Rattus norvegicus: one gene and its partners. The main gene of each other region encodes a partner of the protein of the gene in region 3 in a complex. Links are inferred from orthologs where the notes say so. Each region holds a gene or a part of one and is shown on either strand. Other genes may lie near its edges. The genes, in order: Ednrb, Ednra and Edn1.

What was found.
Region 1: the proteins of Edn1 (region 3) and Ednrb are in contact, whole or in part, in a cryo-EM structure (PDB 8XWP), measured with the Homo sapiens proteins. The link is inferred for Rattus norvegicus from reciprocal best matches to the Homo sapiens genes EDN1 and EDNRB. Residues at the interface, in NP_001403492.1 of Homo sapiens: Cys53, Ser54, Cys55, Ser56, Ser57, Leu58, Glu62, Cys63, Val64, Tyr65, Phe66, Cys67, His68, Leu69, Asp70, Ile71, Ile72, Trp73; in NP_000106.1 of Homo sapiens: Pro88, Pro89, Ile94, Glu95, Ile157, Asn158, Lys161, Glu165, Asp166, Trp167, Val177, Pro178, Gln181, Lys182, Val185, Phe240, Ile243, Met245, Tyr247, Leu252, Ile254, Leu256, Leu257, His258, Pro259, Lys270, Lys273, Leu277, Trp336, Leu339.
Region 2: the proteins of Edn1 (region 3) and Ednra are in contact, whole or in part, in a cryo-EM structure (PDB 8HCQ), measured with the Homo sapiens proteins. The link is inferred for Rattus norvegicus from reciprocal best matches to the Homo sapiens genes EDN1 and EDNRA. Residues at the interface, in NP_001403492.1 of Homo sapiens: Cys53, Ser54, Leu58, Asp60, Lys61, Glu62, Cys63, Val64, Tyr65, Phe66, Cys67, His68, Leu69, Asp70, Ile71, Ile72, Trp73; in NP_001948.1 of Homo sapiens: Tyr68, Gln72, Thr73, Lys74, Tyr129, Asp133, Ile136, Asn137, Lys140, Leu141, Gly144, Arg145, Trp146, Gln165, Lys166, Val169, Glu220, Phe224, Val227, Phe229, Tyr231, His236, Lys237, Thr238, Cys239, Met240, Leu241, Asn242, Gln252, Lys255.

What each region holds. Positions count from the first base shown.
Region 1 is NC_086033.1:87,059,936-87,069,928, forward strand, and holds part of Ednrb (endothelin receptor type B precursor), read right to left. Parts: intron 4,999-9,993; coding exon 4,886-4,998; intron 4,754-4,885; coding exon 4,549-4,753; intron 3,288-4,548; coding exon 3,138-3,287; intron 2,230-3,137; coding exon 2,096-2,229; intron 1,281-2,095; coding exon 1,172-1,280; intron 1-1,171. UniProt on the Homo sapiens protein: Non-specific receptor for endothelin 1, 2, and 3. Mediates its action by association with G proteins that activate a phosphatidylinositol-calcium second messenger system.
Region 2 is NC_086037.1:47,183,171-47,193,163, reverse strand, and holds part of Ednra (endothelin-1 receptor precursor), read right to left. Parts: intron 4,399-9,993; coding exon 4,200-4,398; intron 2,372-4,199; exon of another isoform or gene 1,742-2,371; intron 892-1,741; coding exon 739-891; intron 1-738. UniProt on the Homo sapiens protein: Receptor for endothelin-1. Mediates its action by association with G proteins that activate a phosphatidylinositol-calcium second messenger system. The rank order of binding affinities for ET-A is: ET1 > ET2 >> ET3.
Region 3 is NC_086035.1:22,660,955-22,671,047, forward strand, and holds the start of Edn1 (endothelin-1 preproprotein), read right to left. Parts: upstream 5,734-10,093; 5' UTR 5,545-5,733; coding exon 5,481-5,544; intron 3,817-5,480; coding exon 3,648-3,816; intron 2,337-3,647; coding exon 2,178-2,336; intron 2,028-2,177; coding exon 1,914-2,027; intron 540-1,913; coding exon 437-539; 3' UTR 1-436. UniProt on the Homo sapiens protein: Endothelins are endothelium-derived vasoconstrictor peptides. Probable ligand for G-protein coupled receptors EDNRA and EDNRB which activates PTK2B, BCAR1, BCAR3 and, GTPases RAP1 and RHOA cascade in glomerular mesangial cells.

The DNA of each region.
Region 1 (9,993 bases), on a different chromosome or scaffold from region 3:
CAGAGAAATAGCAGGGGTTTTGTTCTGTAAAGAAAGGAGTTGGCTTGGATAAAAGTTCTCTTCCACCACTAATGTCTGAGTTATGAATGGGTAAGGACATTTTCAGTGTTTACGATGAAATGAATTTTGGTTTTCAAGTAATGAAATACCAGGGACAGTGTTCATTCTCTTGCGAGGGGAGGCATGTTTTTCTTGGTGTTGCATTATTGAAAGAATGCCCGAATAGATGGAGGGCTGCCACGTTGCAAACATCTGGGTTAAAGTATGCTTTATTCCACATGCAGCAACATATTGCCACTATACATAGAAGGTAGAAAAGATGCAGTAGAAACTATTTTAACTTATTTATACTTGCTATTTGTGTGTGTGTGTGTGTGTGTGTGTGTGTGTGTGTGTGTGATGTATGTGATGTGACAGAGGAAGCCATTGAGTGCCCTGATCTATCCCCCTCCACCTTATTTCCTTGAAGCAGGGTCTCTATACCTGGAGCTAAGCTAGTGTCTGCCAGTCCCTAGCAATCCTATCACTAGAATTTTAGGCATGAGGGCAGTCACGCTTGATATCCTCCCTCTCCCTTCTTTGGTGTTTTGAGGTAGGCCCTTACTATGTAACTCGGACTGGCCTTGAAATCTCAGAGCCCTGCCGACCTCTGCCTTCCTTACCCAGCACAGCATGGGTCACTCTTCTCATCAGTTCTGGGGACCTGACCTGGACCGGCCTGCAGAGTGAGCCCTCTCACCCACTGAGCCATCTCCTAGTCCTTGACTTTATTCCCAAAGTCCATGAGAAAAAGAGATAAACTGACTTAGAACACAAAGCGCAGATGAACAATAAAAAAAGTCTACCAAGTTGGAGGAACACTGCATCTAACTGTGTTTCGTTCTTATTTGACCGCATGATAATGTTCATCAATATATGTTATTTTTTATTAACCTGATCAAGTCTAATTGTATCGGTGAGTGGCTAAGGTATCAGGGCATGGCTGACTCCTGACAAATATACAAATATGTCCTGTCGTGGAAATGCAATATTTAAAAACATCACATATATTACAAAGCAGGAAAAATTAGCAATTTTCCAGCTCTCTCTAGATAGGGATATTAGTGTTTTTTTAAAGCCCATATTGGATGCCAGATCACAGGATACTTTTTATCTTAGAAGAATCCCTTACCTTAAAGCAGTTTTTGAATCTCTTGCTCACCAAATACAGAGCGATTGGATTAATGCAGGAATTCAAAGAAGCCATGTTGATACCAATGTAGTCCAAAACCAGCAAAAAACTGCAAGAAACCCAAATGTGTCTGTAAAGATTACATTCCTCCAAGTGTGGATTTAATGCACACCTTTGTGTGTTTATGAAGAAAACCCAAATTACGTGCACGCAATGATTTGACCACCGATTTGCTTAACCACCGATTTGCCTGTAAAGCACCTGTCTGCTGCTCTGCCTGCCATTCTCTCTCTCTCTCTCTCTCTCTCTCTCTCTCTCTCTCTCTCTCTCTCTCTCTTTCTCTCTCTCTCTTTGTCTGTCTCTCTCTTTCTCTCTCTCTGTCTTTGGCATCTCCACTGCCTTCATCTCCCACATCCAGCTTTTTCTTTGAAAAGTAAGGTTCTCGTTTGGAAGTGACGGGGTGTTCAGAAGAGAGGGGACTGATGTGAACAGTGACATCTCGGATCTGACACTTTTCATCTTGTCACTCATCATTCTGACAACTGTGCCCACATTCCCAAGGTTTCCCAATCCCTCTAATTTACCCATCTAGAGCAGGAGTAAAGGGAAAATGGGGAGTCTTAATTGGCCTCTGTGGATAAGAAAATAGTATTCTTTCTGCCTATTAGACGGATTGATAATGGAGAAACATCAGGAAGACAATTTCATAATTATTTCTAGTCTCTTATTTTCAACCTAAGTTAGCACAGATTACTGAGTTTCATACATACATGTTATCACATACATGTTATGACATACATGTCATTGCGTTTTGGTCTTTCTTTACCTCTCCCCCTCAGCACCCCCTCCTACCTCCCTCTACCTTCCCCCAGATAGCTGCCACATTTCTTTCCATGTCACATGTGTTCTACTGTCTTTTCTTACCTCAGAAGTTCACACCTCTGAGGATTGCTCTGGTCATAAAGGGTGAGCTTCAGAATCCTGCTGAGGTGAAGGGGAAGCCAACAGAGGGCAAACACGAGGACCAGGCAGAATACTGTCTTGGCCACTTCTCGTCTCTGAAACAGAACAACGGATCCTTATAAAGCTAACACACACTCTTATCACAGAGATACTTAATCGTATTCACACAAATAAAGACTTGGGCCAATGAGCTTTCAGTTAGATAATTAGTGCGACTTAGACCTAAAATCGCTAGGGATCATGTTTTAAAACTAAGGGTTTGGGGGAGTGGGATGGACAGACAGCTCAGCAGCTTAGAGCACTTGTTTTGCAAAAGAAATAGGTTCGATTGCCAGTACCTCCATAGTGGTCAATAATCATCTATCACGCCAGTTTCATAGAATCTGATGCCCCTACTCTGAACCCCATGGGCACCAGGCACACACACACGCACACAAGCAAAACATTCACATACATAAAATAAATCTAAAAATATATTATACAACCATTTTGTGTGTGTGTGTGTGTGTGTGTGTGTGTGTGTGAGAGAGAGAGAGAGAGAGAGAGAGAGAGAGAGAGAGAGAGAGAGAGAGCATGCACGCATATGTGAGTGAAACTGGAAAAATAGCACAGGTCTGTACTACCATCATTTGGGAGTCAGAAGCAAATGGATCTGGAATCCAAGGTTATCTCTGGCTACATGCTGAATTCAAGTCTAGCCTGGGCTAATTGAGATTCTAGCTTAAAACAACAGCAGAAGGCAATGATTCTCTTTAGATCATTGTAGATGATATAGTCTCTAAACAAGTAATATAAAATGTTTTTTTGTTACAGAAATAGAATGAAGGATGAAAGTGAAAATATGTTCTAGTGTCTAATATTAGTTTATCATCATTTTTGGTGACATCATCATCATCATCATCATCATCATCATCATCACCATCACCACCATCATCACCATCATCATGACTTCCATCTGACCATAGTTAGGGCTTCCCTCTACTGGATTCTCCCATCCTCTTACCTGCTTTAAGTGGTCATTCAAGGCAATCTGCATACCACTTTTCTTTCTGAGCATCTCACAGGTCATTAGGGTGTAAAAGATCGCAGTGATGGCTAGCGGCAAGCAGAAGTAGAAACTGAACAGCCACCAGTCTTTGGCTGTCTTGTAAAACTATGGGAAGAAAGAAATGTTTATGATTAATATCTCCTGCTTAAAGCACCTTATGTATCAAATGTCAACTAAAAATAAAATATTCATCAAAGGACAATGATTTTGGTAACGTCTTCCGTCTATGTACTGTATAGAATTTCATGGGCCCTGTCTACTGAACACATAATTAAAGTCCTGCATTAAATTAAAGAAATATTACAGAACATATTTCAATTCTTTGGGACAGTATAGTAACCTGTAGGCAGCTGAGCAAAATTCTTATGTGTAGATAACACTGAATAACCAGGTATTTCAAATGTTAGGTGTTAAGTATATAAACCTATTTCAGTGTTAGGTGATGTTTTCCCTTTCTATTAAGTGTGTTTAGTGTGAAAACCAGGTATGAAGAGGTCTGTACTGGCCATTTAAGTCAATAGTGTCTACATGAAAGGTCAATCAAGAGTTACACTTTTCCTGTGTTCTTTTCTACTGTTACCTTTCAGAAAACCTTATCGATTCAGATATATCTACGTTGGAAAGAATTTTATGTCCCCAATGTGCTATATTCCCCTTCTGGTAAACAACAACCTCTTCTCAACTCTGCATTGGTGACCCACTTTGCTCCTTCACTGATTGTCGAATGTGTAGCTCATAAAGTTTTTATAGTCTTTTACATGTAAAATAGAAAATAATCCTTGGTTATATTCAGACCAATCAACCCCCTTTGTATTAACCAATCCTGCCTAAAATAAATCTTATACTTAGGATCTATCATTTGGAGACTAATATCCCCATGCTTTCCTATTTTCTGATCAGAAGTTCTTTAGTAGGTGGCCAAAATTTGATATTATTTTGCAAGACAGCTTTTCTTTTACCGTCAGAGACGAAGGGTCAGGCTGCTGTTCCAAATCTACTACAATTAGGCAACTTCTATCTAAACATATGTTAAACCATCTGCTTCTCTGACAATGTTGGGTTGTCTTGTGTAGACTACACAATAATAATCAATCCTGTGGGACCTTAGACACAAAAGCCATAAAGTCACAGCCATTCTTGTAGGAACTTGATTTATCTGGATCCCCAGGGTGTTCTTGGAGGAATAATTATCCTGACTCTTGTAGGTCGGGTCATTAGTGATGGTTAACCTCACAGTCTTGGGATGCAAACTCTTAATTTATGCCAGAGGTAGTAATAAATCAATAGCTTACCAAGGTGGGGAACTGGGGGAGATAGTTAAATATTTATAAGGAAAGTGCAGGAAGAACAGGCGAAGTGAACTTACCTGCATGAAGGCTGTTTTCTGAAAGGGATTAAGCATGCAGACCCTTAGGGGCTTTCCTTTGTAGTCCGACGTAATCACATCAAAACCTATGGCTTCAGGGACAGCCAGAACCACAGAGACCACCCAAATTAAAACAATTTCTACTGCTGTCCATTTTGGAACCCCAATTCCTTTAATTCGACTCCAAGAAGCAACAGCTCGATATCTGGAGACGTAAACAGAATTATCTCTCAGGCAGGTAGGGCTTGGTTATATTGAATTGCATAGTTCATCTCCTAAGTGACAGAGCAGTTATATGGTGGGTTAGGATCTCCTTGGCCTAAGAATGGACTCTTACCTGTCAATACTTAGAGCACATAGACTCAACACTGTGATCCCCACAGAAGCCTTCTGTATGAAGGGCACCAGCTTGCACATCTCAGCTCCAAATGGCCAGTCCCCTGCCAGCAGCTGCATAGAGGAGAGGTGAAGGGCTGTTACAAAGATTTTTCACAAGGCCGCCTCAGAACTGATCATTGAGGGCTGGTGATTAGCAGTCAGAGGGAAGGAAGAACTGCCCTTTGAAAAGCCCCTGTGCCCAATATAGAACACATTGGAAGTAATGCAAATGCAGCCGGTTTATGAGATTCATTTTGTGTAGACTGGTGGCACAATCAGGGTCTTGTCAGAAGGGCCAATGACCCAGTTGCTTAATGACCCTTTAGAACAGAGGGTCTCAACTTGTGGGCTGTGGCCCACTTGTGGGGGAGGAGTTGAATGACTCATTCACAAGGATCACCCAAAACAGTTTGGAAATACAGATATTTAAATTACGGTTCTTAACAGTAGCAAAATTAGAGTTGTGACATCGAAAGAAAAAAAATAAGTTTATGGTTGGAGGGATGTGTGGTGGTCACCACAACATGTGTGGTGGATGTATTAAAGAGTGAAAGCTTTAGGAAGGTTGAGGGCCACTGGTTTAGAAAATGGAAACTGGATATTTCACAAAGCTTCAGAGCTCAGGTAATGACCATGTTAGAATATAAGTTTTATTAAACAAAAGGTTAAATAGTCTTGAGAGGAGATGACTGGACTTCCCCTATTCTGCAGATAGCATTACGGGTGCTCAAGGTTTCCTTTTTTTTTTTTCCAATTATTCTTTTTTTCCCCTTGGATATTTTTTATTTACATTTCAAATGTTATCCTCTTTCCCAGTTTCCTGTCCATAAACACCTATCCTATCCCTACCCCCTTTCTTCTATAAGGGTGTTCCCCTCCCCAACCACCCCCCTTCCTGACTCCCTGCCCTGACATTCCCCTACACTGGAGCATCCAGCCTTGGCAGGACCAAAGGCTTCTCCCCCCCACTGGTGCCCATCAAGGCCATCCTCTGTTACATATGCAGCTGGAGCCATGTATAGTCTTTGGTAGTGGTTTAGTCCCTGGTAGCTCTGGTTGGTTGGCATTGTTGTTCTTGTGGGGTTGCAAACCCCTTCAGCTCCTTCAATCCTTTCTCTAACTCCTCCAATGGGGACCCCATTCTCAGTTCAATGGTTTGCTACTAGCATTTGTCTCTGTCTTTGTCAGGCTCTGACAGAGCCTCTCAGGAGACAGCCATATCAGGCTCCTGTCAGCATGCACATTTGGCATCAGCAATAGTGTCTGAGTTTTGTGACTCTATGTGTATGGGATAGATCCCCAGGTAGGGCAGTCTCTGAATGGCCATTCCTTCAGTCTCTGATCCAAACTTTTCCTTCATATCCCCTCCTATAAATATTATTGTTCCCCTTTTTAAGAAGGAGTGGAGCATCTGCACTTTGGCAGTCCTTCTTCTTGAGCTTCCTGTGGTCTGTGGATTGCATCTTGGGTAAGGTTTTGTTCTCATTAGTAGTTTACTTTACTAACTCAGCCGCACCACTCCTTAGATGCACTGGGTCAGTGTATGCCTGCCACAGGGCATCTGGTCTATGCTACTTTTTACCCAGTCTTCTCATTACAGATGGACATGTGCCCTCTCACCTCCCTCAGGACTTGCTCAGATCTCCTCTCCCCCAGAGGACCTACTTAGAACACGTTGCCCCTCCAACCACGGGCCAGGCCTTCCTATCTCCTTCACCCTCCTCCCTTTATTATAGTTCTTAGCAGCTCTTACTGCCTATAAAAGATACTTTATTGCCTGTTTAGCTTCTGCTCTCCGACTCTCTGAAGTGTAAGACAGAGTATGAGTTCCTCAGTTGCTTCCAATGGTGTCTGACATATAGCAGACACTTGGCAGACGTTCATGCTGCCGAAACGCATAGGTACTGAATGAAAAGACACAGTCCATTCTCTTTCCATATTTATACATATATTTCTCTTTATCTGGCATCAACAACTGCTGTTAAACGGAGCTGTTTCCCTTCTTAGACACTGGGCTCGCCACACTGGTAAATGAATCACTTTAGGTAGACATCTGGATCTAATATTCATGAGAGTTTGTAAATAAAGAAAAATATTTATAATCTGTGGGGTCTTGAAAAACTCTTTTTTTTAAAAAAAAAATAACCTTACAAAAGCGAGAGCTATCCTGAAACACAATTGGAGATTTCTGCCTCGTTACTCCAGGGAGTGTGTGCGACAAGCTCTGTGAATTGTTCTGTGACCAGCATGGCCTCACAGGCGACAGTCTGTCTCATCACGACTGAGATTGGAAGAATGAACGTGAGTCCAATTTAATCTTTAAATTAGATATGAAAAGTTACAGAGATACATGGGGAGACTTCCTGCATATGTACTTCATATAGGGGTTGGAAACTGACAAGGCTGTGGACCTTAACAGGCAGGAAAGGGCCATTGCAAGCCAGTCACTGACTTCAGGAAGGTGATGTCCAGGAGTGGCGGCAAGGTCTGGGATAATCTTTGTCAAATAAGCCTCAGATGCTATTTGTCAGGGAACCCCACATATGAAAATTCCCAACTGAGATGGTATCCAACAGAAATAGCCCTATTATGGGATGTGAGGTGTTTTCTCAATAGGCTTCCCAGTAAGAATGTCTCTGAAGAGACAACACAAGTCTGTAGTTGGTTAAAGCAATGAACACACCAGCCGTAGAGTAGGCTAGGAAAAGGACAGGAAAATGGTGTGATGGTAATGTTATTTTTAAAAGGTAACTTGTTGCTCAGAATGTGGTCAACGAAAGGAAAAAAAAAATGACTTTGTACCTTTGTACAAAATGGCAATAGGCTGGGCCACGTGCTGCCACGATAATCAGGCCCTCGTGCTAAAATGAATGATTTATATTTTTGCCAAAAAAATAAACCAAGCACTTTATAGGTAGTTTACAAGTTTGGCGTTTAGAACTGTATATTGCCAAGTGGGATACCAGCTATCCACTGGGGATAAGAATTCCAGAAACCTTGGCTCTGTCAAAATGTGTGAGGCTACCTACCGGTTTTATCCCTGTGATGTGCCCTTAGATTGTCCACAACCGTGGCCGGAGGGGCGTTTGATGCCCAATAGTTACCCTTCCTAGTTGTTACTTTCCCTGTGAACTTTCTCCGAATTTCTATTTCTTTATGTTTTCAGCTTTACTGCCTATTAGGAACCTGGCTATTATTTGACTTTTGTATGAAAATACAGCGAGCTAGTCAGGAATTCTGTGACCCACGGAGGGATGGTTGGAACATGCACACCAAGTCAGACACCAGAAGCATCGGAAATGCTGTTCGTCCTGGAGATTTCTCAAGATTTTCTTCTCTGGGGGAAATTGGCCCAAAAGCCATTTGAGCAGTGAAACTTCCGAGCTTCAGTGTTTTCAATCTGAGCCAGTTGTGTGAGCTACCTGGGCACTAGGACCACAGAATTCTTCCTTCCTGTTTGTATCTGGTTTTTATACACATGAGCCTTCACAGCAATTCGACAGAGGGACTCTTGCTTTGAGGAACTATGAGGAACTACTAGGTTTCCTCTTTTGTTCCTCTGCTGGAGCGAGTTGTTTCAGTCTATCTCCAGGTCTCGGTCAACTCCAGTTTAGACCTGAATTGCAGCTCTCAGCTATGGGTTGGACTGACTGGTTTCATTTAGGAGCCTACGAAAGGAAGAATGGTCGTCCTTGGTAATATTGTTTGTACTCAGTATACTTCAGAAGGAGGGCTTTTGGTTGTCACCACGCAATCAGAATTAGGATTGTTTTGCAAGATAGAAGGCAAATGGGAAGGAGCGGATTATGTAGATGGCCCTGTGTTACTTTATCGAGTGAGCCTGCTCAGTGCAAATGCACAGTTGTGGTTCAGCAGGCGGCAGCTCCAAGATGAAGAAATAGCTTACGTTAAACTTACCAGAGGCTCTGTCTCCATGGGTTTCTCAAACAGACGTGGCAATTGCTCTGCCCTAACTCTCACTCCTTTTGGGCTGGTATTCAGGCTTCCATGAACATTATAGTGGTTCTCAAGACCCAGTGGTTCTTGAGAGGGCAAGGGAGAACATAGACCCCATATAGTAGATCCAACAACACTCCTGCTAGACCCCAGGCAGCCAGAGCTCCCTGGGGCAGAATCCAAGTGAGGTGTAAATACTTGTAAATTGTGATGCCCATCAATAGGAGAAAAGTTAAAACATCTTCACATGTAAACATCGCAAATAAAATTATTGGGAGGAACCCTCAGAATTTTTGAGGTGCACGCATAGGGCATACCAGTGGTACCGAGATTCTAACCTTGTGGTTCCAGAAAAACAAAAAATAAACGTGACTTTCATCAGCCCCAGTGCTCTCTCGATAAAAAGAAAGTGACAGAAAGTGAATGGCACTCTAAGAAGATGGATCTTACAAATAGAAGTTTCTCTTAAGGCTTACGACAGCAGAGACAAGGCAGAGGATTTGGAGAACAGTGGAAAATTCAGAGACTATTCTAGTTACCGCACCAGAGAAAGACCTGACTCTAGGAAGGGAAAGCTCAACCATTGTCTGTTTAAATTATGAATTATGAATTATTATTAATGTATATACGTGTGTTCTCATGTGTTTATATGTGCACATGTATGTGTATGCTTGTCTCCACATTGGAGGGCATCAGATTTCCTTGAACTGGATGGAGAGAAAGGTGGCTGTGAGCTACTGCAGGCACTGGGAACTGAACTCACACCCTCTATTAAGAACAGTGAACGCTCTTAACTACTGAGCATTCCTTTTGGCCCTGTTGAAAAGTCTTAAAGGAGTGGGGCCGTGAGGGGGACATAAAGTGAGCAAATAAAATAACGGAAATACAATCTGTGAAATGAGGTCCTAAATGTTACTCCTGCCTCCAACCAGAGTTCCCACAGAAGTCTCCTTATCGGTTTAAGGTTTGAGACGAGGCCCTCCGGTCCTAAAAGGAACAATGGCCTTGGAGTCTTGAAACAGGGCAGAAGCTAGGATGTTCTGCTCACTGCTCACCTGGGCTTTAAATATGTAGAGATTAAACCTTGACTGTATGACACCCACATCTGCG
Region 2 (9,993 bases), on a different chromosome or scaffold from region 3:
TGGCTGTGTGCTGTAGGGCTGTGTGCTGTCTGACTGTCTGTTGTATGGCTGTGTGCTGTACATCTGTGTGCCCCGGCTGTGTGCTGTAGGGCTGTGTGCTGTATGACTGTCTGTTGTATGGCTGTGTGTCCCGGCTGTATGCTGTACTGCTTCCTGGGCTGCACTCCATCACTCTGTTGTCTAGTTATTTGTATTTTATTCTACGACTAGACTTCAGACCCCACAAAGAAAGATGGCCACATGAATCTTTCTGTTCTGGCACTCCTGAGAGTATCCATACACACATGCTCAATACACTCTTGGCAAAATAGTCAAAAGTTAACCATCTTTCAGCGCAGCCTCCCCGTGGCCATCTGGTTCACAGGCAGGAGCCCACTTCCCCCAAAGGAATTCCTAAGGCTATATAAAGAAACAGCTCCAAGAGAACATTTTTATTTTTAGAAAATAAGGGTAAATCTGTTAGATACCACATGGTCATGTGTTGTTCAATGACAGAGAGGTTCTGGGAAATGTGTAGCTTGACAATTTTAACACTGCACAACGCCATAGAATATACTGCATTGTTGGATGGTACGAAATATCTCACAGTAGACTGTGTGGTCTAGCCTATTGTTCCTAGGATACTGCATACTGTAGGCAACTGTACCTTGTTAGTGAAGTGTGCAAATAAATGATCAGTACAACCCTGGCTTGAGGAGTCAAAGAGGCCTTGGCCACCTTCTCATGAACTGGGTTTACCTGCTTGAGGTGTTCGCTGAGGGCAATCCGCAAGCTCCCATTCCTTCTGTTGAGCATCTCACAGGTCATGAGGGTATAGAAGATTGCTGTGCACACCAAGGGCATGCAGAAGTAGAATCCAAAGAGCCACCAGTCCTTCACGTCTTGGTAAAACTGTCCAGGGAGGAAGAGGGGAGATGGGACATTGGAATGAAAGCTAACTGTGAAGCACCCTGCTCACCCCACAGTCTCTGCGCTCGTGGATACGGTTAATATATCCACCCTCCCTCATTGTCAGCAGTGAAGACCTGCATTTGTGCTCAGTATTTTTTTTTATTTAATCACTGAATCATATGTTATCACATGAACACTGGATCATACCTAGCTAGGGTTTCACACACACTAGGCAAGTGCTATGTTGCTGAGCTGTACCACATGAAAAAAATGCATATTAAAATGGTCTAATTATCCCTAGAAGGATGGTCCTAAGAAGCCGACACACTGATTTCTACTGCACAATGAATCAGTACAAAGAGCCTCCTCTTAAAGTTCATACAATGGGTTGGATTTCGTTCATGTTCATTGATGAGCCTCGGCATTTTGATAAGATCGGCTGACTTTTTGATTGTTGTGTTTAAAGTGTACTTACCATGAGTGCCTCATTTAGGAACCATGAAGGCTCTCAATGAATAGCTTATCTGTGTAACTGCAGTTAGCCCTTTGCCTGGTATGTCTGCTATGTGACCCCAGAGTCAGCCAGCTCAGCCAGCAATAACTCCTCTCTCTCTTAATACTTGCCACCTGGAAACAACGGCGGAGGGGGGAGGCATTCTAGCTAAAGGCTGATTTCACACACTCTCTCTCTGTGAGCAAGGATTTATATAAACCCAGAATGTCCAGTTTCCTGTCTTTCTAATGGAGAATAAAAATCAAAAAGGGAGAACGGTACTCAACTCTTTCTTCTAATGAATTTTCCTCAACCTTGGGAAGACACGCTTTTTCCTTCCTTGTGCTCTTTCTCCAGGTTATTTCTGGAGGCTAACATGGCTTCCTGTGATAGTTTGACCAGTTCCTGAAGATAGGATCACCCTGTTCCCTGAATACTGACAGCTTCTGTATGAACAGGAGCCCTTTATGACTGTTTAAGTAATCTGAAAATGATTCCAGAAGACAGAAGTCCAGGCAAGTCTTTGTAACCACCACAAACCCCCTTGGAAATCTGCTGAGAGTGAGAATTCCTTCTGAGGACAATATTTTGTGTGTTTATGCATGTTCATGTGTTCATGTGCATGTGTGCATGTATGTGTTCATGTGTTCATGTGTATAGGACAGAATGACTTTAGGTATTATTCTTTAAGAGCCCTTTGCCCTGTTTTTTGAGTCAGGGTCTCACATGGGGGCCTTTCCAGTCCTCCTCCTTCCCAGCACTGGTTTTTACAAGCCTGTGCCATCCTGACCAGCTTCTTGCATAGCTTCTGGGGACTGAATCTTATCACTTTATTAACTGAACTAACTTTCCAGACCTCAACATTATATTTTAATAAGCACACATTTAAATATATGTGTCCACAATGGAAATCAATTACACAGAAATGGAGCTAGCAAAGTACTGAAAATAAACTTCTGGTAAAGATATGTATTCATCAACAAATTACACATTACGTAGTTCTAATTAAATAATATAATGACTTAAAAAAACCTACCAAAATGTTGAACATTACTGTTTTAAGATGGCCACTTTTTCTCTTCAAAAAAGCCATGATACCCTTAAACAATATAGTGGCTTATTATCTATATTTAAAATCAGAGGAAATAATACATTTTATGGGAAATTTAGTGAAAACAAATACATTTTTTCCCCATCCAAGTTCATAGACCCTGAATTCTATCCTGCATTAAGTGCAAACTCCCAAAGGAATTAGTTTTTTCCCATTTATTAACAGATCTTTCCTAGTCCACCCCATTGCAGAAGGATCTCTGACTAGAACATAGAGCATCTGGCCTCTGTCCTTGTTTGGAAGCACAAACATCCTTTGAGCCCCTCCCCGCCCCCTCTGCTCCCTCACCCACCCAGTGTTTGTAGCCTCTTTCCACAGAATTGCAGGCTGAGTGGATATGGCCCACAATCTGTTGCCTGGGGTCTGGAAGGTGACCCAGGACAGCGCAGGATGGAGTACCCTGCCCCCTCCCCCGTGGGAGGGACCTACTGAGAAAGGGGTCACGCAGTTTCGTTTCTGAACTGATGTCCTCAGCTAGACACTGGAAAGGGCCTTGGGACAGGCTAGAGGATGGCAAAGAGGAAGGAAGGAACATTAAAAAAGATAGAAAGCTATGTTAGAAAAAAGTGTACTCTAGACTTGGAGTGACCTGAAATCTCACCAGTTTAACTCATACCCAGATTTCAGCCCGAGGGAACCTGCCAGCGCCTGGCCTCCCTCTCCTCAAGCCCCTTACACAGGAATCGCAGGCTTTGAGGCAACACCTGTTTGATTTTGTCCCTTTCCAGGGACCAGTAAGTGCCTTTGTAGAGGACCATTTCTCCTCTAATGCCTTTTGCTGCAGTCTAGAATGCTTGTCTGCCATCCCCTAAACATGGGCCGGGTCACCCACCTGTCCTGTTTTTCATTGTGGAACCTGAGCTACTTAAAAGGCAATAAGAAAATGGTTTTGATTTTGAAGTTGCCAATTTGCCAATTTTCCTGAGTTCTTTTATTGATTGATTGATTGATTGATGTGTTCTCAGATATCAGCCTTTGAGTCTGTTTGCATTCATATCAGCCCCATAAACACTGCTGCATATGTGCAGTGCAAGCCCACTCGGAGGAATCTTGATGTCTAATTCCTTACCAAAGTTGCTTCTAGATCAGAACCTATAGTTTCATGGCTGTACAATGATTCCTCACAGGGCATAGGTTCTGCTCATTTTGTCAGAGAAATGTTCTGTCAAAAATCTTTAGGGCAAATGAGATTTGTGTTCAGGAATATATCTGAGCTAGCTGTGCTTCCTCAAGTAACATCGACGTGGCTATCAGATGGAATGTCTTGTGTGTATCTGCTAATCATAAAAGCAAATTACATTTTGCACACACAGAGGTAGTCTCTCTTAGTAAGCGAGACTTACTAATAATTCTTTGATACAGAAAGCCGATTTTGTCTATCGCTGTGCTATGAGGTTGGGGATTTAGCTCAGTGGTAGAGCGCTAAGCGCAAGGCCCTGGGTTCGATCCCCAGCTCCGGGGGGTTGGGGGGGGGGAAGAGAGGGGAGATAACAGAGTAGCTCTATTCAGGAAGCTACACACAGGTCAGGATTGTCTGGCAGGCAGTCAGTCAGCACAGTAGCCTTGTGGAGATGGTAGCAGGCCTCAAGACAGTGGAGTGCACAGTGCCTCCCCTCCCCAACTAACTCAGTTTGAGCTTTAGGACGTTTTTAAATTAAAACACTGAGCTTGATGTGGTTAGTGAATTGCGTGCATGATCAATACCTCCATGAACTTGGTCGTGGCGTTGAGCATGCAGGTCCTGTGCTGCTCGCCCTTGTATTCGAAGGGTACCATGACGAAGCCGATTGCTTCTGGGATGGCCAAGATAAAGGAAAGGATCCAGATGGAGACAATTTCAATGGCGGTAATCAAGGGGATCCCGATTCCTTGAACCCGGCTCCAGGAAGCCACTGCTCTGTACCTGAACAGGAGTGGAAGATAGGGGGAGGGAGGAAGAGAAAAGAAGGGGGGTAAATCACGTTGTTAGTATATTTTGAACTAATTTTGACTGGAAAATGCCTTCCCCGGACAGAAGTATAACCATTGGCTTTTGAGGAATTTTCTGTGAGCCCTGATGGGAAATAAAATAAAACGAAGCAAACCAGCTTGCCCATTTGGAAACGGCCTGCCAGGCCTGAGTCTAAAATCTATAAAGATCTAAAATTTACGAGTGCTATAAAACACAGTCACCCAGATATAATGCGGGTGCGGCAACCATGAACATGAAGCAGCGATGGAGGTCTGTTTAAGGCCTTCACAGGACTGGGCCCTTCAGCCGTCTATCAAGGGGTGGTACCCATGAGGCTCCACCCCTTCCTGAGTAGCTACCATTGGCTGTTAGTGGTGACAGACAGAGGGAGGTGGTATCATTTTCTTCAGCAATGTGGCCACTGGTGAGTTGTCCATCTGCCCAATCTGCCCAAGCTCATAAGCAACATTTATTGAACTGAGGGGCAGGTGAGAGACAGGACTGGTCAGGAAGAAGGGGTTCAGGGAGAGGGGGAGGGGACAAGAGAGGGTAATGGGGAGGTTACTATTTTCATAATGTATTGTATATGTGTATGAAATTGTCAGTAAGGCAGTAAGTAAATAAATAATGGCAAAAATAAAATTTTAGTGCCTTTAGAAAGTGGCACCAGGAGGTAGGTGTACCTGTGTGCGTTAAGGTGGGGGGAAGAGGGATACAGGTAAGGTAGTGAGAGCTGCTAGGATGTCCTGTGTGTGTGTGTGTGTGTGTGTGTGTGTGTATCTATCTATCTATCTATCTATCTATCTATCTATCTATCTATCTATCTATCTATCTATCTATCATCTATCCATCCATCCATCTATTTATCATCTATCTATCTATCTATCATCTATCTATATCTCTATATACTTGCTTTTGGGGAACATGTAGCCTTGGCTATCCTAAAACTTGGCCTCTCCTGAAACTCACTCTGTAGACCAGGCTGTCCTCAAACTCACAGAGATCGGCCTGGCCCTGCCTCCCGAGTCTTGGACTTAAGGTGTGCACCACCACTGCCTGGCTCTGGCTTCTCTTGATCTATTAACAAAACTGGAAACATTACCAATGAAGTATTCAATCCCCGAGTGAATCATGACCACACCTATTTCACCATTTCCTCCCTTCCTTTACTCCAAGACACCATCAGACTGGACTTTACCAGGTGGCAGGTTCAATGCACACCATCTGGTAAGTATCTATCCCATTATAGACCTGTGCCAGAGAATATGAATTACAGATATCTTCCTTCCTAACCTTCAGATCAACAACCCAACAGACGAGAATGGTTGACATGGATGGTAGGGCACAAGTGTGGATAGATGGGATATAAATAGCCCTCTGGCATTAAGAAACCGTGCTTACTTTAGTTCTCGTTTTCAATATTTTTGGGATATGTATGAGTTGAGACAGTGTCTCACGTAGCCCAGGATAGCCTACAACTCAAATCATTTCCTCAGATGACCTTGAGTGCCTGATCCTCTCGCTCTACTCCCCAAGTGCTGGGTTTGCAACTGCGTACCACCATGTCTGGTTATTTAATGTTTCCTTGGCAGCAGTCATGCTTAAATGTCTGAAGAAAGTGCATGCTCTTTGATTTGATGTTCTGGTTGGATGCTCACAGACTGTAAAGAGAAGACCTGAGACACACCGTGGTCCTTTTTATTTTTTTTAATGACTTTTTTTTGTTTTTTTTTGTTTTTTTTCTTTTTGTGGATTCATTTGAAAATTTGCTTCCTGTTGTAATGGAAAGGAAACATTTTCTTCTTATAGCTTTCATTGAATAGTGCCAGACAGAAGAAGGCTTTAAACAGACCAAAGCATTGGATACAGGTGTGCTTGAGTTTGCAGGATGCACATTTGACTGCTCGAGATTAATGAGCCAAGGCTATGCACAAGTCACCCACATTCACCAAATGAACTCCCTGTCATTTATATTTGCTCACCACCTCACACAGTATGTCTACACAGTATGCATCTGTGAAACAGGGCTCCTAAGAATGACAACTCCTCATTCTTTACCAGACTTGCTTAGAGATTAGAACATGTAAACTTCCATACAGTATATATTTTGTATAGTATAATGATACCACATGATAGATGCGCATCTCAATCTTCTGGAGAAGTGGTTTGCAAAATGTTTTTAGGGTAAGTAAGATTTGCATGCATAAGAATGCCTGGAAAAACCCCAGGTTTGTTCAGAATGGAATAAAATGCAGCTCTATGAACAGACCATGAAAACCCTTTTGTAGAGTACAAACTCTATCCTAAAATTCATATTTTTTTTTTACAGTAGGATAAAGATTGGTGCTTATTTTGATTTCCAGTTCTATTTTCTCTTCTTTGTGGCTTATTGATTGGCAGTAAAAGCTGGAGTGGAGACCAGATGTCTGTGTTTCAGGACTGAGAGCCAAGATGCATCTGCCTCTTGTCCCCTTCCGTCACCTCAGTTAGGTGATTTAAGCAAAACACCTCTCCTCACAAAAGAGTAATAAGCAGGTGTCTTAGCTGGTGTCTAGGGTTTGGCTTAAGTAAGACAATGTGATGAATATGTTTATCAATTAGCTTCATTTCATATGGTATCACAAGTAAGTCTGACTGGCACACACACATGTGTACACATACACACAAGTGCACGCTCGCACACACACACACGTGTGCACGCACAAGTGCACACATGCACGTGTGTGTGTTCATAGACATGTGCAGCATGCATATGGGCACACAGATGCACACGCATGCATGCACAGGCGTGTACACACACACACACACACACACACACACACCACACACTCGGATACATATATGCTGATATAGATTGCTATACACAGAAGTGGTTTTTAGCAGATACTTCACTAAATGGCCCATAACCAGTCCAGTCTTTTATTGACTCATCTCACGAAGAATCAGAATGTTTTCCATTTGTAATCATGTTGATCTCGCTAACATCTTTGTGAGATGAGGCAATGACTACAGGAGCGACAATAGACGACATCCTGTGACAGTGGACAGACATGGGGAAGTTGTGGGAACTGTGAAACTCTAAATGCTGCAACGTTGAATTTTTTTCTTGGAAGTTTATTTTCTAACACACACACACACACACACACACACACACACACACTTACTTTTCTTATATTTGAGCAGCCTTTAGTCTGACTGATATGTTGGGATTAAGTGTTGGGATTGAGTGTTGGGATTAAGGGTGTGTACCAGCAGTCCCTGGTCATTGCTGTTCCCATAAGCATAGTTTGAACACAGCCTTTACTCACGTCACTTATAACTGTATTTTGCTGTTTCCATGAGAACACTCTCCCACAGACGTGGCATTTGTAGTTCAATGGCTGCACATGATGGCACGATATTGATCTCATTTCTACCAATCTTTCTCTCATGAGTCATGTTTAGCCTCTCAGAGGAGTGAAGCACACCTTTGTACATAGAGATATTTTTTTTTCTCACTGTGAGCAACTTTCCTGGATGCATGATCAGCAGTAGAATTGTTAACTCCAGGAGATGAGAGGTAGCCAACACACATTTGCTCTGGAGATACAGTCTCACAGGGCAACCCAGCCTGGCTGGGAGTCACTCTAGCCTCTAACTTCTGTGATCCTCCTGCCTCAGTCTCCCGGCCAGTCGCATGACAGCTGTGTTTTAGCATGCTGGATCAGGTGATTTAAAATGCAGTATCTAGGAACTGCCTAGACAGATGCTTGCTTACACCGAAACCCATGAGTTTTTCTTCAAATTTGCTACTTCAAGAAGGTGAAGGGGCACCACTGCTGTCTTTAATTAAGAGCAACTGGTCATTTGTGATGGTTAGTTCTGATTTATATCTTTAAACGATGGTCAAACCCACTGCCACCCAGAGGTTGGAGGGAAAATCCTATCAGAGAGTCTTCTCACAAGAAACCACGTGAGTTGGGTGAAGGGGAGATGCCAATGTGTGCACTTCTGTGGACGGTTCTGATGTCAGCCTGTTCCAGGACTGGCCTCTGATAGGCTCCCACCACAGTCCTGCCAGGCTGAGAGGCCTCAAGACTTCCAGCTGACCCTGCTAAGGGCTGGAGCCCGGAGTGACAGGGTACAGAAGTGGCCAAATTCCCGTTCCATAACATAGTGAGATCTGATAAAATGGTTATTTTAAACGACTGAGTTTGAGGGTATCTGGTTATCAAAGAGAAACAGGGATAGCAAAACTAACCAGCTGCCTGGTCCTGACAGCAGAGTAAGATAAAGAATGAAGAAGCGTGTGCTGCAGGGAACAGACCCAAGCCAGAGTGTGACTTTGTCCACATCCCGTCTCTTCGGCTCAACCACTTCTGTGCTTCCCTCTTCTTATATAGCAGTGGGAAACCACAAGTAGGACAGGGAGAGAGCAGGTCCAAGTCTAAAGGGGGTGCACCTCTGAAAACCACCTTATGCTTTCTGGCCCAGGATTCGTCTCTGAGATTATCAGGGAGGGTACCAATCAACAACTGGAGGTGCTGGCATCATGTCTGAAGCTTGGGGCGTACAGAGAAAAATCTGCCTTCCTAATGGATCGTTGCAGGGTTTCCAGGTATCTAATTATACACTGCTCTGGAAGAGTCGTTAAGAGAGTTTTATCTTTTTATAGGCTCCTTCCCCAGACATCTTCTAACTACAAGTTGGATCTGTACCCAGGCTTGTTTATGACATGACCCTGTCATCGTCTTGTACTTTAAACAAGACTATTAACTTCACAAAGAGCAGCGTTGAGTCGCCTTTCTTCTTCTGTTCTCCCCCAAACAAAGTAAAAGTAACATTTGAAACACATCACAGCCGCAAGAAAAAACGTTTTATGGTTGGTAATGGTTGATTATTCATAGTTTTTCTGGGAAAAGTTCACCCCTTGTAAAGTATACTTTAGCAATATAAAGTTTACCGATAAAGCTGGGCGGAAGCCAAAACTTGTTCTTAGATTTCTTTCTCTATTTCTGGAAACTTCCTCCTATCTTTCTCATACGAGACTAAGAACATATATTTAGGGTAAATAAATAACAGTTAAACTTGAGGAGTTAGCAAAAGGGTTAAACTGAGGCAGGTCCACAGTTGAGCAAAGGAAACTCATCCACCAGGTGTAGACTGCGCCTCTCTGACAGGCTTGTTTATCTGTCTGAGCACCACAGGGAGGGAGCTGGAATCTGTCTCAGCACCACAGGGAGGGAACTGGGACTTTTCCTTGGTTTTATTGCATTCTGCATTTCAGTAAGTAATTAGAGAAGAAATTCAAAAGTGCCTAGACATATGCTTTCTCTCAGGACAGCTCCAAACCCAGATGATTATCATATTTTAAAAATATCACTGAAATACCATGGCAACTCTTCCTGGGTGGTAATCTGATTCAGACAAGAAAAATATGGTTTTAAAAACTAAAAATTGTTTTTAAAGGACCTCAGACTCCTCCTTATTACTGCTGTCGCATTAAAAAAGTGGTTCCTCCCTCCAGTAGAATACGGTGAGATCATGTAAAGCCTCAAAGCTAATGAT
Region 3 (10,093 bases):
GAAAATTTTTTGCATGGACTTTGGAGTTTCTCCCTGAAATGTGCCAGGCGCCTGAGTCAGACACGAACACTCCCTAAGGACTTTCTACAGAAACTCCGCCCTGCTATGGAATCTCCTGGCTCTCTGGATGATGCCACTCAGGAATGGCACTGTGTCTCTGCTCTCCGAGAGGTCCGAGGCCATCCCCAGACAGCAAGAAGAGGCAAGAGAATCACTTGCTACCAGCGGATGCAAACGAAGACAGGTTAGGGAACACCTCAACCTCTCTTGGAATGTTTGGAACAAGGACGCTGGTCCTCTGCCAGTCTGAACAAGAAACTGTAGAAGCCGGACAGATGTTCTTGCTAAGATCCCAGCCAGCATGGAGAGCGCAGAGTTGGCCATAGGGCTCGCTCTATGTAAGTCATGGCTTCCAAAACACCACGGGGCTCTGTAGTCAATGTGCTCGGTTGTGTATCAACTTCTGGTCTCTGTAGAGTTCCGCTTTCAACTTTGCAACTCGAAAGGAGGTCTTGATGCTGTTGCTGATGGCCTCCAACCTATTAAAACAAGAGAGGAGAAAATATTCAACACACACTCACAGAGATGGAAACAAATCACTCGTTGGCTAAAGAAATGTCTAAAATTAGAATCTGGCACAAACGCACTAAGTCTTAGTTCCTGGCCCTTTGCACCAGTTGTAGCAATGTGGTGCCTCTTTGATAAATCCTCAAGCAGCGGCTACGACTATTGTGTGAATAGACCCTGCTGTCTATGCTGTTTGGTGCTGTGGAGAGGAAGCCTGTGAGTATGTCTACAGGGAGTTAAGTTCCAAATGTTCTGCTTAAGTAGCGTCATCCTACCCTCTGGCACTTTCTAAACCACAGAAGAAATGGAAGCTAACAGGTGGATGGAGAGAAAATTAGGGAGCCTACAGGGAGACCTAAGCGAGTGCTTAGTGACAGTTTAAAGGGTTGTGCAATGTCAGTGTGTGTGTGTGTGTGTGTGTGTGTGTGTCTGTGCACGCGCACACATATGAGAAGGGACACATAAAGAACTGGAGCATCACTTTCGTAGTTAATGGAAGACAGAGTAACAAAAAGGTATTGAGCCTCAGGTCAGCTGTGCAACTGTGACCTGGTGGGACCCCACAGTGGTGGGTGCGAAGGAAGAGCTAAGAGGGGCTGTCCCCACACAGGAGCAGTAACCAAGTCAGCAGTCCCTCCCCACGGCCACATTGGGCTCAGAACACTTTGGTCCCAGAACGCCTTGACCCTGGATGACTTGGGGACACTTCTAGAGATAGGAGTGAGCCTATGACAGATCTGAACAAGGGTCCTTCTCAGTTTCAAAAAGTTTAGCCTTTGGAAGGATCACCAAAAAAGCTGCTTGTTGCCACCCTGTGGCATTGCCTAATCCAGCCCTCTCCTGGGCCTCAGGAAGCAAGCCAAGTGACACCTGGCCCTTCAAATTTCCATATTTCAACAATAGTAACGGAATAAACCTGAAAAACAACATGTTCTAAATCTCACCAACCTTATCTAATGGCTTTATTTCCCTTTGGCCATTTGAATCACTAGCACTCTTGGAGTAACATATATAAATATTTTAAATGTCTTTTTCTTTGGCATGATTTTCAGTTTCTCCAGGCAAGCAGAAAATGAAAGACCAGAGGAGAAAAGACTGGGCATGCTCAAACTCTAGAGCTGTCTTAGTGTGGAAGCTCCATCCATAGACTGAACAATGTGTGCTAAGACACAGTGGGCAGGCGTCTGCACTCAAGGCCCCAGTATCTGAGGAGCCCTTTGCTCCTCTGAGTCCACAGACCATGACGACTCTGTTACTGTACTCAAGCTTTTCTTTCTCCCAGTGGGAAGGACTAGGGAGCCATTAGCACTGGTATCCAGGGCCAGGAGTCCCCATGAGCCTCTTACCTTCTTAGTTTTCTTCCCTCCACCAGCTGCTGATAGATACACTTCTTTCCCAGCTTGGGACAGGGTTTTCCCTTCTTGAAGTCTTTTACGCCTTTCTGCATGGTACTTTGGGCTCTGTGAAGACAGACAGGGAAAACCACTTTAGCGATGGCTTGTTGAGATTCACCTTGCCTGTCCATGTCTCTGCTCCTTTCTCTAAAGTGAAAGACCATCTGAGAGGGAGCAGGCCAGCAGGCTGGATAACTCCAAGGGGCTTCCACTCACCGGAGTTCTTTGTCTGCTTGGCAGAAATTCCAGCACTTCTTGTCTTTTTGGTGAGCACACTGGCATCTGTTCCCTTGGTCTGTGGTCTTTGTGGGAAGTAAGTCTTTCAAGGATCGCTTAGACCTAGAAGGGCTTCCTAGTCCATACGGGACGACGCGCCTGTTATGGAAAGAGAGAAGGAAAAGATATTAGCCTACTTAATAATCTTTCAAATTCCTTGGGCCTACAATTCAGAGAGCATTCATTTGGACAGCTCATGATACCAAAGTACGGAAGCCATTTGGCCTGTCTGCCCATCAGTGGTCCTCAGTGTATGTTTCCCCTAAATGGGAAAACATCAGCTTTCCTTCTGAATCAATGAAATTCTATTTCAATACTTAACAATATTCCATTTCATCTAGACACAGTTTTGTTCCAGATTACAACCTCTGTTTGGGTTTCTGCTTTGTGCTTTCTTTCTTTTCTGGTGTCAAGTGGGTCATGGGGCCAGAAAACAGAAGGACTCCAGCAACACCAAAACATAAGGTTTTCTACTTCAGTCATGTGTGGCAACGCTGCCTGGTGGAGCATGGCACCTTGGCACATTGCTCTAGAGTTCAGTAAAACTGAATGGCTGTGAAGGACTTAGTGTCAAAATGCTCTCCGATAACTTGCAATGAGTCCGTTTCAATTCACTCAACAAGAAACGGAGTCCTCCCCTTGGTAGAAACACTACTAAGGATTAGGTCCTCGGTGGTTTGGGTCTGGTTTGGTTTGGAACTTGGCCAGCCATTGTAGACAGAATAAATGTGTTTGTTCTTTCTGCTGATTGCTCCTAAGGAGTGGACTAGTGTTGGGGGCTGAGGGTAAAACAGCCTCTGTTCACTCTGAAGGTACAAGAGAAACCTATGGGCGCTGTTCTGAGCTCTGCCTTGGATCACAGTTTTCTAAAGACGAAAGAGAGAAACAGGAAGCTCAGTTCCCTGCTCTAGCCCTACTCCCAGCTCATTCCTGTGCAAGGGGCTTCAACATTGTGTTTCTTAGTTTTCCTATAAGTAAAAGAAAGGAAATATGTCATAACTCCCTATTACATCTGTATGTCTGGAACAGATTCAGCGAGCCTCTCTGAGAAGTATAGGTATGTTACCCTCCATAGGACCTGGTCTACTGATCCCTAAGTCCACATCGAGAGCCTCTCGCTACGTTCTTCCGTCCCTTTCTTGTCTTCAAATGCACAATTCCTTCCTGTTTGCCCTCATCCCACAGTAAGCAGTGTGACTCTGAGCCTCTCAGAAGACCCTCTCCTACATGGCTACCACTAAGCTCATCTGTCTCAGTCAGCACTGTTCCCCCTGGGAGGCACGTTTTTGCCTTCAGAAATGCAAAAGCCCAGAAACCTCCCAGAACAGAAACCCCAGCTGGGTCTCCCAGCTCCAGAAAGCCCCAGCAGTAAGAGGATGGCTAGGACTACAATGCCCTCTAGAGACTCACTCGGGAGTGTTGACCCAGATGATGTCCAGGTGGCAGAAGTAGACACACTCCTTGTCCATCAAGGAGGAGCAGGAGCAACGCTTGGACCTGCGGGGTCTCCAGGATGTGCTGGGAGGGGGGCTCTGCACTTCCTTCTCAGCTCGGGGGCTGAGCTCTGCTCCCAAGACAGCTGTGAAGAGAACAGAGGGTCGGGTTAGTAGGAATCTCTCTTCAGGCGTCCAGAGCAAGCACCTGCATCCAAGTATTCAGGCCAGATCTAGCAGCGCAAATAGAAGCAGACAAGGCATAAAACTGCCTTTAGCCAGAAACACAAACAGAAAGAAAGAGACTTCTTTGTTCTCCGTGCTTAACAGGACTTCACCCTTACCCTGGCTGGCTTATCCAACCTGCAGGGAGATTACACACACACACACACACACACACACACACACACAGAGAGAGAGAGAGAGAGAGAGAGAGAGAGAGAGAGAGAGACAGAGACAGAGACAGAGAGAGAGAGAGACAGAGAGAGAGAGAGAGAGAGAGAGAGAGAGAGAGAGAGAAACAGCTAGGAAAGGACTCTTCCAGTCTTCTGAAGACGCTTCAAAATGGAATTTTGAGGAAGTCCATACCTGAGACTTAGACTAGCACAACTCCCATAGATTAAGCTGGCTGGTGGCCACAAGTAAATAAGACAGACCGTCTATTCCTAGCAGCCTTGGAGCCACGTTCCCAACTCAGGATAACCTCCTTAGGGGTACCCACCCCATTCCAGCTCGTGTAGGGGCACAGAATGATCTAGGTTGCATATGGGTGCCTTTTTATGTTAGGCAGAAAGCAAGAACTTCCAGAAAATGCCTGGACACCGAAGAGAAACTGACTTTACAACAGTCACTGCAGGTGGGAGATAAGTGGCCACTCAAGGAAGAGAAGGTACAGCTCAGGGGAGCCAGGGAAGTACTCTGGGTTCAGAATCCTGGGGCCGCACAGCTTGCGTGGGACTTGACACCTCCCTCTGGCCCAACACAGCATCGCTAGCCTCTTTCAATTGACCATTTGGTCGTGCATTTTCTCTTCCCAATTTTGTTCATTTCAAACGATCAGACACATTCCAGGATTTTCATCCCTTTGACAACCTCTCTCTTTGCTTAGGGTCAGGTGAAGACAAAAAGAAGGCACTGACCCTAAAAAAACAGGATGGGAGGAGAAAGAACCAGAAGCGGCCCATACTGTCTAATTCCTTAATCAGGCAGGAATGATCCCGGCTCCCTTCCCAGGACAGGTGAATACTACTGAAATAGAGCTCAGGCTGTTTGAGGATGCCAAAAACCTGCCAAATGAAACCTTAAGTCAATAGTGACAAATTTTAAAGAAAGCATGTGCTTCGCCCTGAAACCGCCTGCGGGGTTACTCAGCGCACGGTTGATCGGCAGGTGATTTCACTGCTCACGTTGTGCCTGCATGACCTGAATAAAATTCCTTGGCTTTAAGCTGGAGTGTTTTAGTATTTTACACATTAGCACACTATCAAGACAGCGTTTGAATAAGCTCCTAAATGCACCATGCAACCCTAAACACACGTATTTCAAATATATCCTTGCCTCAGCTGTAGCCACTCAGCGATACGGCTACAACGTTATTTTAAAGCTATGTGATACTCGGTTGTAGTCAGTTGTATTCAAACAGGAGTTTTATTCCTTTCGCTGGCACACAGAAGTAATTGCAAGGCACTTGCTGCTCCAGCTTCAGTAATTTAAAAAAAAAAAAAAAAGGACAGAAAGAAAAAAGAAAAGTGGAAAACAGAAGCGAGAACGGCGTTGCGCTGAAGCAGAAAGATTCGCAAGTGGCACCTACCTGTTTCTGGAGCTCCTTGGAAAGCCACAAACAGCAGAGAGAAGATCACGGGAAAATAATCCATTCTGCAAAGGGATCAGAAGAAGAGGAGGGAAAAAAAGAAAAAAAAAAGAAAGAAAGAAAACTCGGTTGCAAATGGAACTCAATGCAAAACGAAGAGGACGGTGTCTGGTTGCTCTGATCGCCTCTGGCTTTTGGAGATCTCAGCGCGGTCTTCAAAAAGTGGCCCCTTCACCGGAGCGAAAGCGTCGCGGGCAGCCCGGGAGGCAGCGCTCGAGGACAAGCGGAGCAGACCCAGTCAGGCTCTCAGCGCCAGTGCTGGAACGCGTCTGGCTCGGACAGCTCTCCGCCGGGCTTTTTATATTGAACCCCTATAGAGTGGGGGTAAACAGCTCCGACTTTATTCCAGCCCTAAACAATGTTATTGTGTGATTAGTCACCCACAGGCAACGTGCAGCCGGAGATAAGACCCGGCTCTAGAGGAAATCACGGCTAACTTCAGAGGCAGACGCCCGCCGTCTGACAATCCAGGGGCAGGGCTAAGAAAAAGAAAACACCCACTGGACAGAGACCTCTGCAAAACCTGCACCGAGCGGCAGCCCGCTTCCCCTTTTGCTAGCTGCCAGCCCCAGAGTTCAAGAATCAAGAGGTTCTCCAGAAGAAAAGTCACCCCATTGGAATGAAAAGTATGAAGTACAATTAAATAGATTGTATTGTGCGCGCGGGGGGTGGGGTGGGGGTGGGGCTGATCATTGTTCACTTGATTTTCCTTTTATGTCTTTCTGATTTCTTAGTTGGATTCAAACCAGGGGAGGATCCCCCTCTTCGTTCTTCACTCCCTGCTACTTGGGGTGGGGGCGGGAGGAAGACCAGATTATTTAGGGAGATCAGCTTACTTTTCCAAACTCCCCCAAGTCTTTTTTAAACTGAAGTTCTTCGCAACGGAGGTGCGAAGGATTCCGTCAGGAGCTAGCAAGGAGGGAAAACTAAGGAACAATGATAACAACAGCAATATGGTTTCGTCAGGCACATCCTAGTATCGCCGATCAGAAGGACCCCCCCACTCTCTCCCCCCTCCAAAATTTCCTGTGCCCAGCCTCTCCCTGGGAATTGCACCCCCCACCCCCCCCCACCCCCCGCGCGCGCGCGCGCTATCGGGAAGAATCTTGAGAAATGGCAGGAACGAACACCAGGGGGAGACGAAGAGCTGCAGGGGCTTGTGCTTTAGTAAGATAAAACAATTAAAGCCTTGGCTTCTAAATGATTAGCAACAAGCCGCGGCCGGGCAGAGAAGGGCGCCTCACAGACGAAAGGAGAGGTGACTTCAGGGCATTCCATTATTCCCTTCCCTGACTTCCCAGTCTCCTCCGCCCCACTTTGCTTGCACACTGGGGCGAACCAGTGTCCTGTGCCTGATTAGGAAGCTACAGGGAGAGCGTGGGGAGGGGAGGACTGCCTATGCTGACTGAGTAAGTGGATCAGATCATACCTCACCGTTTAATAACGTGTTTACGTTTTCCAAACAGTTTCCTGTCTATTTTGCCATGAAATGCTCCCTCCCCCGGGTGCCCATGGGTTATTAAGGTACAAGTGACAACATGTCTTCATGAATAAAGCAAAACACACATAAAGCACATTGACTTTTTCAATAAGCTTCACTTTTCAAGGGAGGAAGAGGGAGGACCCCCCAGAATGCCCAAAAGCTGGAAACAACACGCGGGATCCACTCAATGGTTTCCCTATAAAGGATCTAAATCAAGATGTGAGGATGCCACCGCAAAGGTCCCTCTTTCATCCCTCTTGTTCTACTCCGATTTTCCCTGGGAGTAGATGCCAAGAGAGACTCACTTCTAACACGGGACCCACACAGGGACCCACCCCACGCAACTATTCATTTAGCTCTTCAACTCTACAATCAAAAGGCAGATTTGATAGCGATTCCCAAGCTGTGGACAGGGACATGCTTAGGCCTAGTGAGCTCTCTGGAAATCTCGGTAGGGGAGACAACACAGCAGCAGCTTTAGGTCACTGAGAACTCTGTCCCTTAGGAGACTCTGTACTAAGAGCTGGAGACATTGGAGAAGCAGGAACCAGCAACCCTCCCACACCCACACCCGAGGCCCAGGGCCACTGGTAAGCTTCTGCCTCTGCTTTGCTTACCTCAGACCTACCCCGGAGGGTGGGGGCCAGGAGGTGACAGCTACCCCTAGAACTGGGCCCCAACAGGAAGCCAGCTCATCCCACCCCAGCTCCTCAGGGGACCTGGAGGAGAGGAGAGCTGATGTCACCTACCCAAAGTCCAAGCTTCCCACCGGCAGGGGAAAGGTGGCTGGGAAATGTACACCCCACCCCCACCGCTTTCTGACCTCCTGGCCAATCTGACCAAACTCTGGCAACTATCAGGACCAACCTGTCCTCAGCTCCGCCCCGGAAATGCCCAACCCAGTTCTCGAAGGCATCCTCCAGTGTCTAGCCTGGGCCATCATTCTTCAGCTGGGGGACCTCTGGAGATACCGGTGGCCCCAGCATCAAGGAAAGAAGGGAAGCAAACATGTTTTTCTACTGCCCATTCTCTTGTTGCCTACCCATACCACCCTGAACATGTGCTCGAAAATCAAATGTAAACTCTGGCGGCCATCCACTCGGACTCTCTTCTTCTAAAGCTCAGCGAGAGGAAACCGCAAATAAAAACCGAGATCGTAGCCCCGGGAGGGTCCCATCTTTCCAGGTCTACCTTTTATGTTTTGTCCCGAGTTCCCTAGGCCTCTGTGTGTTTATGCATCATGTACATGTCTGTGCACCTATGTCCCTTTTTTATGTGCTTGGGACTAAGGGTAGGCTCTGCCTCTCTACCCATCTCTCCATCTCTGTCCCTTACAGCAGCCCCCTACCCCGCTTTTCTTCCCATGAAAGGAAGGAGGAATCCTCACTCAAGCCCAGAGAGGGAAGCTCTAGGCTACACTAGGCAGCTTCACCAGATAAAATTTTGCCAAGTAGCAGGGGGAGGAGAAAGGAAGGCGGCAAACCAGTCTGACAAGCTCGATGGTCCCACCCACCTCCACTTAAGGTATTACTATTAGAGAGGCTAAAGACCAGAAGAACGGCATAAACATGCACAAAAGTTTTATAACTAGGGGTGGGGGCTGCCTTCCCGGAGTCCATCCCACTTTTCAAAACAGTCCCCAGGGGAACGCTCGTTGCAGCCCATCACCCTGAAGAGTGGCAAGGAAGATGGGTTTTTCCTGTCACACAACAGCTCCCTGTTGGCCTTCTTGTTCCTGCTTAAGATGTACCCTTGAAATGCGGGGAAAACTGTCTGATAAAGCTGTTTTTATGTTTTTCTTTTCTGTATCTTTGGCTGCATATTAATAGATAGCTATAAATAAAACAGCCTGAGCCTCAAATACAGAGACTACACAGTAGCAGAGTGTACTGTTTTTAGCACTCCTCGACTTTGGTCTTTCTCAGCTTTTGCGTAACGAAACTTGCAACTTTGCCAAGCCAATAAATTTAGAGTGAGATGTTGCATTTTGCTCAGGGAAGAGAAGAGCCGACTGCCCAACAATGAGTGGAAATTAACTTATTTGTGGGCAAGGTGAAGCTATGCAGACACTGAGCCTGCTTTAATCCTGTGGTGACTGTGCTATGTACAATGAAATGCCATACATTACAGTCATTGTGCATTGTGCCCTGGCCACACGGCATGCACGTGGGAGCTGTGAGTAGACAAAGTGTCTTTCTCCCTTTAATCCAAAAAAAAAAAAAAAAAAAGTTAATATCCCACCGGAAATGAGATAGCCCGAATCAAGTTATCCAATGCATTAAAAAAAATTACGAAGTATGTCTTATATTTAGTTTAAAAGGTTGTGTTCAGACTTTCTGACCTGTTATTCCGAAGTTCAGTCACCAGGAAATCTCTTTCATATGTTGTTTTATTTGTTTGTTTTGTTTGTTTGCTTTGCCGCATTTGTGTGACATGGGTAGATGTTTTAAAAATATTTTATTGTTAGCAAAATTGCTTCTCTTACATGAATAATTTTAGAACGTGTGTGTTTATGGGCTTCATTTATGTGCATGTATGGGTAGAGGATAGAGTTGGTATTTAGTGTCTTTCTAGGTCACTCTCCACATTATTCATTATTGACCCACGGTCATTCATTGAACCTAGGTCTCACCCTTTGGCTAGGCCGACTGGTCAGTAAGGCTCCAGGACCTACCTGTCTCTGACCCTCAGAGCTAAGGTTACAAGCACAAACCTCCAAGCCTAGTCACCACAGGAATGCTGAGAAACCCTAACTCTGTCCTTATGCTTCAAACTACAAGCACTTTACCGACTGATTCATTTCCAAGGCCAGAGAATTTTTATACCACTTATGCTATGCTTAGTAATAATACATATGATGCTATGGTTTCATGCATATGGAATATTTGATTATTATCTGTTCATTATGGTTTTAGAAAGGGAAAAAATGCTTGTCCCGCTATAACCATGGTGGCGTGCTCACCACGTTGGCTAGATTAATGTCCCATTCATTGAGACATCATATACGTTAGAAAGGCTGAAGTTTGTTCCTCCTCTCCAGTTCTATTTTCAGCACAGACACCAAATACCG